Bombyx mori: one gene and its partner. The protein of the gene in region 2 purifies or fractionates together with the protein of the main gene of each other region. This does not show direct contact. Links are inferred from orthologs where the notes say so. Each region holds a gene or a part of one and is shown on either strand. Other genes may lie near its edges.

The links. The genes of interacting proteins can lie anywhere in the genome.
Region 1: the proteins of Rab11 (region 2) and unconventional myosin-Va purify together in Drosophila melanogaster (affinity purification with western blotting; 4 studies listed by BioGRID, with this or other methods). This does not show direct contact. The link is inferred for Bombyx mori from reciprocal best matches to the Drosophila melanogaster genes Rab11 and didum.

The regions. Positions count from the first base shown.
Region 1 is NC_085108.1:6,149,276-6,155,458, forward strand, and holds part of unconventional myosin-Va, read left to right. Parts: intron 1-1,095; coding exon 1,096-1,234; intron 1,235-2,722; coding exon 2,723-2,880; intron 2,881-3,772; coding exon 3,773-3,947; intron 3,948-4,883; coding exon 4,884-4,973; intron 4,974-5,464; coding exon 5,465-5,649; intron 5,650-6,177; coding exon 6,178-6,183.
Region 2 is NC_085112.1:15,248,062-15,254,991, reverse strand, and holds the start of Rab11 (ras-related GTP-binding protein Rab11), read right to left. Parts: upstream 4,396-6,930; 5' UTR 4,319-4,395; coding exon 4,279-4,318; intron 3,754-4,278; coding exon 3,632-3,753; intron 1,312-3,631; coding exon 1,079-1,311; intron 1-1,078.

The DNA.
Region 1 (6,183 bases), on a different chromosome or scaffold from region 2:
ATTTGCGAGCTCATATCGCAACACCCTGTATAATGGCGACTTGAGATGATTCATAACTATGCTGGACGTTTATACGGGTACCAATTTTTCTAATGAAATACGTACTCAAACAAATGTTCACGATTGACTTCCACGCTGAAGGAATAATATTGTCTAATAAAAATCAAATCCGCATAATTATAATTTGATTAATTACTGGTGGTAGGACCTCTTGTGAGTTCGCATGGATAGATACCACCGTCTGTTTCTGCCGTGAAGCAGTAATGTGTTTCGGTTTGAAGGGTGAGGCAGCCGTTGTGACTATACTGAGACCTTAGAACTTATATCTCAAGTATAAATTCTTTATGATTATAATTAATGAATGTTATATTATAAATTGTTACAGCATATTATACAGTATATTATAAAACAGCTGTTATTCTTTAGAGGAGGCCTTCACCTTCACTTGAGGAGGGGTCCATGCAAACAAACTTCTATATATTTTTTTAAAAACGTTATCTAGATTTATACTTTTGTAACGAAACGGAAGGGAGAGAGAAGGGAAGCAAATTAAGTGAAACACGTGTAATAACATCAGTACTTTTTTTTCTTCTTCTCTTTTCTTCTTTATATTTTTTTTTTATATTATATTTAAAATATGTATGCAACCTACTATTTGTATGGAATAAAAGGCATATTATTATTATTATATTATAAATTGACATGTTAGTAATCTGCAAATTAATTCTATATTTATTTTATAATTGCACACTATTTATTCAACTAAGAACGTGTTGGAATATTAAAATTTTATAATACCATTATTGATGTACCATGTCTCTGGCAAACAAGTCATTTTGATTTTGAATTTGAATAAACTTCTTCAGCTATTTGAGTCAGATAAACTTAATTGAAATTCAATTAAAAATATCGAACTGTTGATGCTGATACCAAATAAAACGCATCTTTAATTACAAAGCCTGTTAAGCGATATGTTGCTCAATCCCAATAGCCTTTCACCCCTCGATAATAGTCTACAATCGATCGAATTATAATTACAATTTGAATAGTCAGCCTCGTTAATATCCGACCTTATTCCCCTGTCGCGATTAACAGATACCGCCTCCTCTGTCGGCACAAGGACATCGACCGCGCCAACATCAAAGGGACGTGCTCCATAATTCTTTCCAAGCACCTCAAGGATCCGGACAAATACCAGTTCGGTGCCACGAAGATATTCTTCCGGGCGGGACAGGTCAGTGTCAGGGTTTTTATTCAGCATTATACGATAGAAAAAAAAACTCGCTCAGTTAAGTTTTTTTTAAGGGTTTGTATGACACGGTAACTAAGACCTTTAAGTCATGTCCTATTTCAATTTATATTATTATTTTTATGAAAAATGATGAAATGAAATGAAATGAAGATAATTAATTTAAGACATTAATCAACTGGGATGAAATTAAATGAAATGAGATGATATGGGATGACATAATATATTCTCAGTAAAATGGTGGTCATTTACTAAGATTTTTTCAGTGGACTTTTTGGAGAATCCCGAGAAGTTACGTGCAGCGGCTGTGTTTCATTTTCCCACATTTGTGCACTTTCACAGATACTAAACAGTTTATAAACCACCATTATTACACATTTAAACCTGAAGAAACACTAAACAGACAAAATAAAACAAATCACACAACTTCACTCCTCGTGTACCCGCCAATTAAGTTGTCTTCATCAGTGTTTCCACTTTAAAGATTTCCTTTCCCGACGTCTCAATTCAAAATTCTCAATCTCATGGCTTTTTTCCCCTCAAAAATTTTTCTGCTGTAGTTTTTACTTTTGGCCCTAGTGTAGTAACTAAAAAAAAGGTCTATATCGATTTTCTTGTATAGACTGTCCACGCCTCTAGTGATACTATACTGTGATAATATTATTTACACTAAATGCCATTTTCCCATGATTTCCTGCAATTTCCCCTTTTAATGTCTTCCCGCTTTTCTCCCCCCCTATGGACCCTAATTTCCCCACAAATGGGGAATTTCCCCTCACTGTGGAAACACTGTTCTTTACGTGACCGTAGCGATATGAGAATCTCTTAAACACGATAAAAGTTTTATTATAATCACAATCTCTTAAACACAATACAAGTTGTATCATAGTCGGTCCAGCGTTAGCGTGTGATGCTGGAACTAACGTGGGCTTGGAGTGAATGTAATTTGTGACAAGCGGGCCGCTGTCTATAAAAAAAGACCTATGCTTATTTTTATGTCGGCTTGTATAAGAAACTACGTTCGACTCGTGGATATTATGCTAAACAATGTTTTTTTCCAGTTCCCTAACATTATAGACAAATAATTACAAATCGACGCTTGAAAGGCAAACGTGATTAAGCGACAATAACTGCTTTGTACATAAATGATAGGCAATAACAATATTCGATGCGCAAAAAATATATATTTCTAGGTCTATTAAAATCCTACCGAAGAAGATCCTACAGCTCGATTCGCTAAAATAGGTTTTTTCATGTATTTGAACTTTAAATTAGTCTACTGTAAAGTTCACGCATTGTCGCTTAGTCACGTTTGCCTTTCAAGCGTCGAAATCTATTCGCAAACAAAATTTGATTTTTCTTTGTCGTGTACTATGACGTCATTGTACAACAGTGCTTACGGCCTCTATACTATCCATACAACTATTACAATGAATTTACGAGTTGATGTTTTGATCTGTTTGACACGAGCAGGTCGCATACTTAGAGAAGGTCCGCGCGGACATACAGCGCGAGTACTGCGTGCGCGTGCAGAGCTGCGTGCGCACGTTCGTGGCCCGTCGGAAGTACCTCCGGGTCATGAGGACCGTGGTCGGCATCCAGGCCCGCTCCCGGGGCTACCTGGCCAGGCGGTGAGTGTCTCAACGAACGTGGAGGGCTTACTGGTGACTTACTATCAGACCACCCTGACTATTGCTGCCTATTTTTTCGGAAACTTGCATTGCGACTATAGTCGGCATGTAACTATACTGAGACCTTAGAACTTATATCTCAAGGTGGGTGGCGCATTTACGTTGTAGATGTCTATGGGCTCCTGTAACCACTTAACATCAGGTTGGCTGTAAGTTCGTCCACCAGTCTAAGCAATAAAAAAAAAAACATGCGTGCAATTCACACGTGGCAGAAGTGAAACCTTCAAAAATTAAAGTACAATGACATGTCTAAGTCTATGTAAAATTTTGTCAATAGAAGTAATTAATTGCAAATCGCTTTTACAGTATGAGCTAACGTATTCTGTGAATTGATATTTTAACTTCACGTATAATCCTAAATTAAAATTCACTACAAGAGGTTTCGTACACACGTTAGTATTAAAAACATCTTATAGATGGCGCTGTATTAAAAAAATCATAACGTATAATGTGTTCTATCTCATTCTCTCGCCGGCTGAATCCTATACATTTATGTGTTTGTGTCTCTATGGACTTATTTTTTCGTTTCATCGAGTTTGAAATCACAACGATTTTGAAGAAGTTTCACTTCAAGAAGCTCTTTTATTTATTTAATTACTAGCTGACCCGGCAGACTTCGTAGTTCCTCAATTGATAATTAAAAGACCTAAAATTTTGTATAAAATAAACTTAAAACAAACAAAAGGAATACGTCCGACGGGGGAAACATCAAAGGACAAACAAAATTGTTATTTTTATTTAATTCTGAGCATTTTCATGTTTATCTACCTTTTAAACCTTCTCTGGACTTCCACAAATAATTCAATAAAAATATTTATTTATCGTGTGACAGCAAAGCGCAGGAGCTACGCCGCGCCCGCGCTGCCGTGACCCTCCAGCGGCACGTGCGCGGGTGGCTGGCGCGGCGCAACTACCGCCGGCTGCGGGGCCTGGCGCTGGCGCTGCAGGCGCGCGCCCGCGGGTACCTCGCCAGGAGACTGTACCGGGACCGCAGGAAACTAAGAGCCGTGAGTCATCCGACAGTTTTATCCGACTTTAACTAGTAAGCATCGAACCCACAGATACAGCCCGCTGAGTCTCTTGCCGGATTTGGTAGGCAGCGGCTTGGCTCTGCCCCTGGCATTGCTGACGTCCATGAGCGACGGTGACCACTTACTCTCAGGTGGGCCGTATGCTCGTCAGCCTGAAATGATAATAAAAAGAAAAAGATCTCCTCAGTGGGTCGCGTTTCCGATCCGGTAGTAGATTCATTCGCGAAGCAGCTTTTCTTTACTTGGTCTAGGAGGCGCTCGGGCAGCTGTTAGCAAATCCCACCCCTCTTGGCTGAGTCTTTGCTGGCCCACCTGTCCTGGTGAAACTGGAAAGGTCTCCGGGCCAGGACCCTGAAACTGCGATACTTTAAGACTTAATTAATAAATTTTTTGTATGGAAACTAGCGACATCTTGTAGCGAATGCCCATAAACTTATATGTTGTGGTAGACTCTGCGAAGCACTGCTCTTGCTAGGGTTCGTGTTAGCAACGTCGTCGGGTTTGAGTCCCGTGAGCTCACCTACTAGCTAAAGTTATGCTGAAATAGCCTAAGCTCTCAGCTTAGGTAGGAAAAAATAAAAAAGTTAAGCAGCGACTTGGCTCTGCCCCTGATATAACTGACGACCATGGGCGACGGTAACCACTCACCATATATATTTTTTTGCCTTTTTAGGCAGATGAGCGTACGGTCCCCCTGATGATAAACGGTCACCGTCGCTCATGGACGTCAGCAATGCTAGCCGCCGCCACTTCCGAAAATAAACTAACAATTTTAATTTTAACAATCAACCTTTATTATTTGCTTCGTTCGAATTTTTATAAAGGTTGCTACAAATAAAAATTACGTATTAAAAAAAACTATGCGTGTACTTATGTACGCACTATATCGACTATAGCATTGTTCGATTCCAGGTCGTCACGATACAGAGATACGCTCGCGGCTTCTTGGCTAGACAGAGGGTGAAGAAGATGAAGAGACAGATCATAGTCGCGCAGGCAGCGGTGAGATCATTGTGCACAGTGACGTCACGACACGCGTGCTGTAGTGTCCAGTTGCACAGGACCCCTACAATGAACTCATGTAGCTAGCAACAAAATGCTTTAAAAATAAATAAAAATGATCATAGAATATATTCGAATGTCCAAACACGTCATTACGGATTCTCCCGATCCAGTAACGGTGCTTTTAGGTACCACAAGAACCGGTCACCGTCCTCGTCGAACCCGTCGCTTGCGACGAAGGGCTCGGCGAGTAAACTAACCCACAGACACAGCCCACAGAGTTTCTCGCCGGATCTTCTCAGTGGGTCATATTTCTGATCCGATGGTAGATTCTGCGAAGCACGGCTCTTGCTAGGGCCAGTGTTAGCAACAAAGTTAGCAGAATGGGTAGGAGAAAAAAAATCTCGACCGTGAATGTTTACCGTATGGCTCCGGTCCCTGACATCCACGTTCTGGTCTCCAGACAAGTACATCTCGTTGAACGGTTCCAGATCCGTCGTTTCCTAGCGCGTCGCCAGTACAAGCGGCTCCGCATCGAGGCCCGCAGCCTCGACCACGTGAAGACCCTCAACAAGGGCCTGGAGAACAAGATCATCAGCCTGCAGCAGCGGCTCGGCGGCGCCATGGAGAAGAACAAGCTGATCGAGCCGCTCACCGCGCAGGTCGCGGACCTCAAGTTAGTGGCGGGGTGTGAGGGGCGCGGGGGTCGCCGCAGTGTCCCGGATACAGACTTCCTTCGTTCAAATTTTAAAAAACTACCGTAGCTACATCAACCTCATGTCTCAAAGTAAATTCCTTCATCGTGAAGTCGTTCATGAGTCTTTGTCGAGTACGTATGACATACGAGCACACCGGACGTCTTACTCAAAAGGCCACGGACGAATCCAGAATAACAAAACCGGTCTCTCACACAATATAAATAAATAATAAATATTTACTAATAATCACGCCACGTTAACTGGTCCCGTGATAAATTCGTAAAGAATTTGTGTTACAGGTACCAGATAACGGATATAAATGTAAGATTTTTATTATACACATACATATACATATTTAATATACATCCATAACCCTGGAAAATACATTTTATATTTATCATACAAATATCTTCCCTTGGCGGGATTCGAACCAGCGACCCCCTTGTGTAGTGACCATGTCACTTACCACTACACCAGACGGCCGTTATATATATATTTATTATCAGGGCAAA
Region 2 (6,930 bases):
AAATACTTAAGTATATTAGAAATGAATGGGAACATAATATGTTTGACCACACCTAATCTCTTTATTGTCAAATATTTATTACCCTTGAAATTTTATACCATCCACTGGGAATATGTGTGATATAAATAACACAGTTAATAAAATCGGTTGAGGGGGAACATTGGACGGTATCGTAAGCAAACTTTCAATTATTGAATTACTCTTAATGTTTAAAAAACGAATATTAAATATTAAGTAAATACTCGAATGTATATTTTATTTTTTTAATTTTACATAAGATTTATAATAAACGCCGCTCTCTTTGTAGGCGTATAAAGAAAGAAAATAAACATTCGCCCTCTGACTCTGCTTTCGTGATACTTGAACACACCCTGACCAGACATATAGCCAAAAAAATAATTAAACATTACTAAAAAGATTCATTAAAAAACCATATTATTATATTAGACTATATTATTAGACCTTCATGTTAGCTGCTGTATTTGTTTTAGAATCTTTTAAGTAAATATTTTCGTACAGAGACTGCAGATAACGATATAAGTGGAAATCTCATCTAAAATCACGGATGTTTAGATGACAAGTTGTTTCTGTATTTCAATGAGTATGAATTCCAATGAAGTTTGGTTTTTAAATAAGAAAACAAACTTGTCATATTTCGGAAACTAATGCCTTTAGGGATTATCTAGAATTTTGGAGTGATTTATTTCGATCTCATGTCTTGATGTTGGCGGGGTTACTTAATTTTCCCTGTATGAACTCACAAGAGTTTCTACCATCAGTAATTATGCAAATTATAATTTTGCAGATTAGATGTTTATTACATGATGATATTCCTTCACTGTGGAAGTCAATCGAGAACATTTGCTAAGAAAGTATTTAATTAGAAAAATTGGTACTTGCCAGCGGGATTCGAGCACCGGCGCATCGTTACATACGAATGCACTGGACGTCTAATCCTTTAGGTCGCTAGTGTTGTCTAGATTGGAGCTCGATAGTGTTGTCTAGATTGGAGCTCGCTAGTGTTGTCTAGATTGGAGCTCGCTAGTGTTGTCTAGATTGGACGTAACTAGAGACGTACCTAAGATGTCTGAGATCGCTCTTGTTGCCGACCAGCATGATGAGGATGTTCTGGTCGGCGTGGTCGCGCAGCTCGCGCAGCCACCGCTCCACGTTCTCGTACGACAGGTGCTTGGCGATATCGTACACGAGCAGCGCGCCCACCGCGCCGCGGTAGTACGCCGACGTGATGGCGCGGTACCGCTCCTGCCCGGCCGTGTCCCATATCTGAGCTTTTATGGTCTTACCGTCGACCTGGTGGACAACAACAAGATATAGCCTTCGATTTTGAAGTCGTCGTGGCCTAAAGGATAAGACGTCCGGTGCATTCGTGTTGAGCGATGCACCGGTGTTCGAATCTCGCAGGCGGGTACCAATTTTTCTAATGAAATACGTACTTAACACATGTTCACGATTGACTTCCACAGTGAAGGAATAACATCGTGTAATAAAAATCAAACCCGCAAAATTGTAATTTGCGTAATTAATTGTGGTAGGACCAATTGTGAGTCCGCGCGGGTGGGTACCACCACCCTGCCTATCTCTGCCGTGAGGCAGGAATGTGTTTCGGTTTGAAGAGTGGGGCAGCCGTTGTAACTATACTTGAGACCTTAGAACTTATATCTCAAGGTGGGTGGCGCATTTACGCTGTGGATGTCTATGGGCTCCAGTAACCACATAACACCAGGTGGGCTGTGAGCTCGTCCACCCTTCTAAGCAATAAAAAAAAAAGCTTAGTTCATTGGTCCCCGTGGGCTTTAATAAATTATTTCCTTGCCAACACGATTCAGGATTTTAAATAAAGGCTCACTTACAACTATAAATTCGAATTTACAACTCAACATTGTTCCCTTGGCCAGTAGGAAGAATCAAAATATGATATTTTTATTTATTATTCCTTAGATGTATTATGTGATTAAAAAGTCTCGATTAAATTGTGTCATAGTTGTCTCATATTTTAACTTGGAATAGCAGCAGAAAATAGACAGGATGGTTCTACCACCACTTGACAGACCTGAGAATTGAATATGAGTGGAAATGTTGAGTTTCACAAAAACTACTTCACAAAGCTGTCCAATCTGTGAACATACCACAATTTATCTATGCTCCAATCCAATAAGATGTATAATATTTATGTAAAAGGAAATCTCCATTTTTAAAACACCCACAAAATTGGTTGTAAAAAAAAATTATTAAAATATTTTTGAAATGGTCATACAGAAAAGGGATAGGGGACGAGAATATCTTATGATCTCTCTCACATGCTCACAAAATAATGAGTTCATATAAATCATTTTGTACAGCTTTTCTCATGTTTGTGATTCATAATATTGATAATATTGACATTCTTTGACACCTACAATTTGAGATGGAAACCGGAACTTCCATAAATAAATAACAAAAATTAAAATTAACCAACATCTTTTCTATCATTTAAACTAACAGAATTGCAATTGGTACACAAGTAGAATAAAATCTTGTTTTTTTTTAAGCCTTTCAAAGTTTTAAGAAATATTTACTTGACAGTGGGACAGAAGCTAAATAGTGAAAACATTGTAGGTTTAAGAATTTATATTGTTTGTTTAACAATTTGTTTGTGTTTCCCGAGCGCTATGACATGTCCTTCTTCAAACGAGGCTTGTGGAGAGTATTAAGCGGTAGGCAGCGGCTTGGCTCTGCCCCTGGCATTGCTGAAGTCTATGGGCGACGGTAACCACTCACCATCAGGTGGGCCGTATGCCCGTCTGCCTACAAAGGCAATAAAAAAAAAATAAAAAAAAAAAAATTTAAAGTTTATACAGAAAACATAAATAGTCTGAAAACTAACACAAAGGTCTGAGAGTCTCTTAATTTGTCCATATACTTCTATGACATCTCATTTTTTTAAACCAGTCCAACAAAATTTTACTACATTTTTCATGACTAATATAAATATGTGTGTATTGGAAACAATTTGACAAAAAGGGAAACTGTTACATACAATGAACTAAGTGAAAATATGATTTAAAATTACTATTACAACAGTGATTTTTTGTTTTATTTGTAGCAGGGTAAGCAGCTGTATATACAATGACTATTGAAATTATTCTAAATAAAGATGACTCATTTCAACTATGTACTGTTATATTTGAATAAATTTAAAGGTTTTTGTTAATGAATTACAAGGTTTACTGATTAAAGATAAGACAAGCAATTTTAATTTGAAGATCACTAAAAATATATTTGTCATACATACTTAATACTGACTATAAGAGGGCGCATATTGTGAAAATATGTTTTGCTGAAAGAATTCACACTATTGAAACGATAGGTACTTACACTTATATCTGTGAATATATTGATATATTATGTGAATTTGAGAACAACATCCATTTATAAAATATGAATAATGTAATTTTGTAGTACATTTTAAACAAAATAGGTTTACTTTTGTTGGTGTTTGAGATATTAGACATCGTTTTTAAACTATTCACATTAAAAGTTTAGTTGCCGCCCCTATTTTTATTTCATAACAGATATAATTAATGGCTCAATTTTTGAACAATTACATTATTTAATGGAATTTGATACTCACCTCTATACTTCTTGTTGCAAATTCCACACCTATGGTAGATTTAGATTCTAAATTGAATTCATTTCTAGTGAAACGCGACAGAAGACTGCTTTTACCCACACCAGAATCTCCAATGAGTACAACTAAAATTAAAATAAAGTTACTTATTTACTAAACTCAAGGTGATTATCGCGAGTCGCGATCCTGATGATCATAAGCTATAATATCGTGTTTACTATTTTATTTTACTATTAAAGACAATTCGTTATAGGTTAGTGGTTATAAAATACTATATTTTACTAAATTATTGTTAACATTATCGAAACATAGAACAATCATTTTCTTTATTAGACTACAAAAGAGGCATACATGAGTCATGAGAACGGGAAATTACAAAAAAATCGATCGAGTCATACAATCAGCTGATGTTAAAATACAATATTATTTTTGGTCTGAGATTGAAATTATATTTGGTTTGATGCATACATTTTGATTCTAATATAGTACTGAGAATTAAAACACAAAACAAAGGAGAAATCTAAATAAGACATTTTTTCTACGTCACTATAGTATTACAAACAATGGGATTCATCATTTATAAGTTATAAAATAATAGTTCCGTTGACTGCGAAAATTAATTAAAAGAAACAGGCGAGTAAAAGTCTTACCTTTGAACAAATAATCATATTCATCCTCTCTTGTGCCCATTTTGGTTTATCCGGAGCTCTTTAGTCGACGTCAAAAATCGGTCAGTTTCGAGACGTCAAGATGACCGTAAATAAAAATAATATTGGACACAAATATCACAGATTTATAAAACGATGCACAGTTCTTTTAACATCACTTTTTAATTGTGATTATTTTGATTGAAAGCGCTATCATGTACCTATCGAAATAATAAAATTCTAAATTGTTGTAGGGACAAAATGGCGGATTGTTTTACGCCCCTCGGGTACGTTCGATTTCCGAACAGGTCCCAAAAGTGTAAAAGTTAATTTTTTGAAAATGTTTACTGCCAAAAGTTTCATCCATATATTTTATTTTTAAATTGTTACACTACTAGCATATCCATTCTTTTTTTAACGAAAATTCGATAAATATTAAATTTAATTGAAATTTCATGTAATAAATTTTCGAACGTAAATCAGTTGTGAGAATTCTATTCTGACATAACTCGGATCAGCTGTCAGGTGTCAAAATTTTGACATCTTGACCGTTTTTTAAGGAATTTAATGACCTGGTACTAAGACCTTTAAGTCATGTCTTATTTTAATTTAAATATATTCTTATCTTTATGAAAAATGATTATATGGGGTGAAATGAAATGAAGATGATTAATTTGAGACATTAATCAACTGGGATGAAATGAAATGAAATGAGATGATATGGGATGAAATATAATCTTAGTAAAATGGTGGTCATTTACTAAGATTTTTTCAGTGGACTTTTTGGAGGATCCCGAGAAGTTGCGTCCAGCGGTTTTGTTTCATTTTCCCATATTTGTGCACTTTCACAGATACTAAACAGTTAATAAACCACCGTTATTACACATTTAAACCTGAAGAAACACTAAATAGACAAAATAAAACAAATCACACAACTTCACTCCTCGCGTTCCCGATGACACAGTCAATATTTAAGACATATTTACTGGTGGTAGGACCTTTTGAGAGTCTGCGCGGGTAGGTACCACCACCCTGTTTATTTCTGCCGTGAAACAGTAATGCGTTTCGGTTTGAAGGGTGGGGCAGCCGTTGTAACTACATATACTTGAGACCTTCGAACTTATATCTCAAGGTGGATGGCGCATTTACGTTGTAGATGTCTATGGGCTCCAGTAACCACTTAACACCATGTGAGCTGTGAGCTCGTCCATATATCTAAGCAATAAAAAAAAATCCATGCCTATCTTGGTCTATCTGGTATGTTTTTCGAGTGCATAACTTAGTAAAGCCAAAGGATGTAATAAGTACTCTGTAATGGTATCGTTTGCAATTTTTTTTATTTGTTCATTCAATATCACATACACATGAATACCGAACACGAACATTGTCCTGGAATGCAAACCGTTGACCGTAGACCCGTGGACGAAGACAGTTTTTTTTAATGTTATCAGCCCTCCCGACAACGCTGCTAATATCTAGTCACGCATACTTAAGGCGTGCTAATTAACTCCATTCTCGCGATTAAATTTTTTGGCCAGCCCTTAAGTACCGTAGACTTTGAAGGCTAAGTGTTAGGGGTTAAAGTATGAAATTGCCGATTTGAACTGAAAATTTGAAATTCGTTTTTTTTCAACATAATATATGTTTAGTCAAAATATCTATCATTATTATCAATACATTGCTGCCATCTAATAGGAAGGTCATTTATGCCATTGCGATATAACTCTGCTGATCTAGATTCTACAAACTGTGTGAAAGCATTTTGTACTGCCTCCTGGAAAGAAAACTTTTTATCACGTAGAAAATTGTCCAAATCACGATAAAAATGGTAGTCCGTTGGAGCAAGGTCTAGCGAATATGGAGAGTGACGAATGGTTTTTAATTGCATGTAGAGTTAAAACAGTTTCTCGTGCTGTATGAGGTCTCGCGTTATCATGGAGCAATAATAGTGAAGATCAATTCATGAGTCATGGATGTTTCACTGCAAGTTTTGCTGGAGTTCGGCACAGTAAACATCCGCCGTTATTGTTTGACCAGATCAGAGAAAGCTATAGTGAATAACACCCTGCTGAGACCACCAAACAGTTACCATTACCTTTTTATTGGTAAGCTTTGCTTTAGGACACTGTTGCGGCGTTTGACCTGGGGTCAACCATAACATTTTTTCGCTTAAGGTTATCGTAAAGAATTCACTTTCATCACATGTCACAATTCGATCCAATATTCCTTTATTTCTGCAACGATTCAACAGGGTAACACAAGTTTCAACACACGTTTCTTTCTGCAGATCAGTAAAATCATGAGGCACCCACTTTTCATATTTTATATATTATTGATTTGACGCAAATGAGTCAATATTGTTGATAAGGTAACGCTAAACCATGCCGCTAATTCCTGGGTAGTTTGGCTTCATTTGGCACCATCTCTTTCGATTCATTGTTATTCACATGTGTGAGCGGTCTTCCACGTGGTTCGTTCTTCAAATCAAAATTTCCATCACGAAATCTTTTAAACAAAAATCGCACGATGCGTTGATTAGCAGTTCCCTCTCCAAACGCAACATTGATATTGCGAGCTGTTTCTGCAGCGTAAGCAGCGTTAGTTCCGCGTCGTATTAAAAAATCACTCGAATTTTCGAAATATCCATCATTCTGA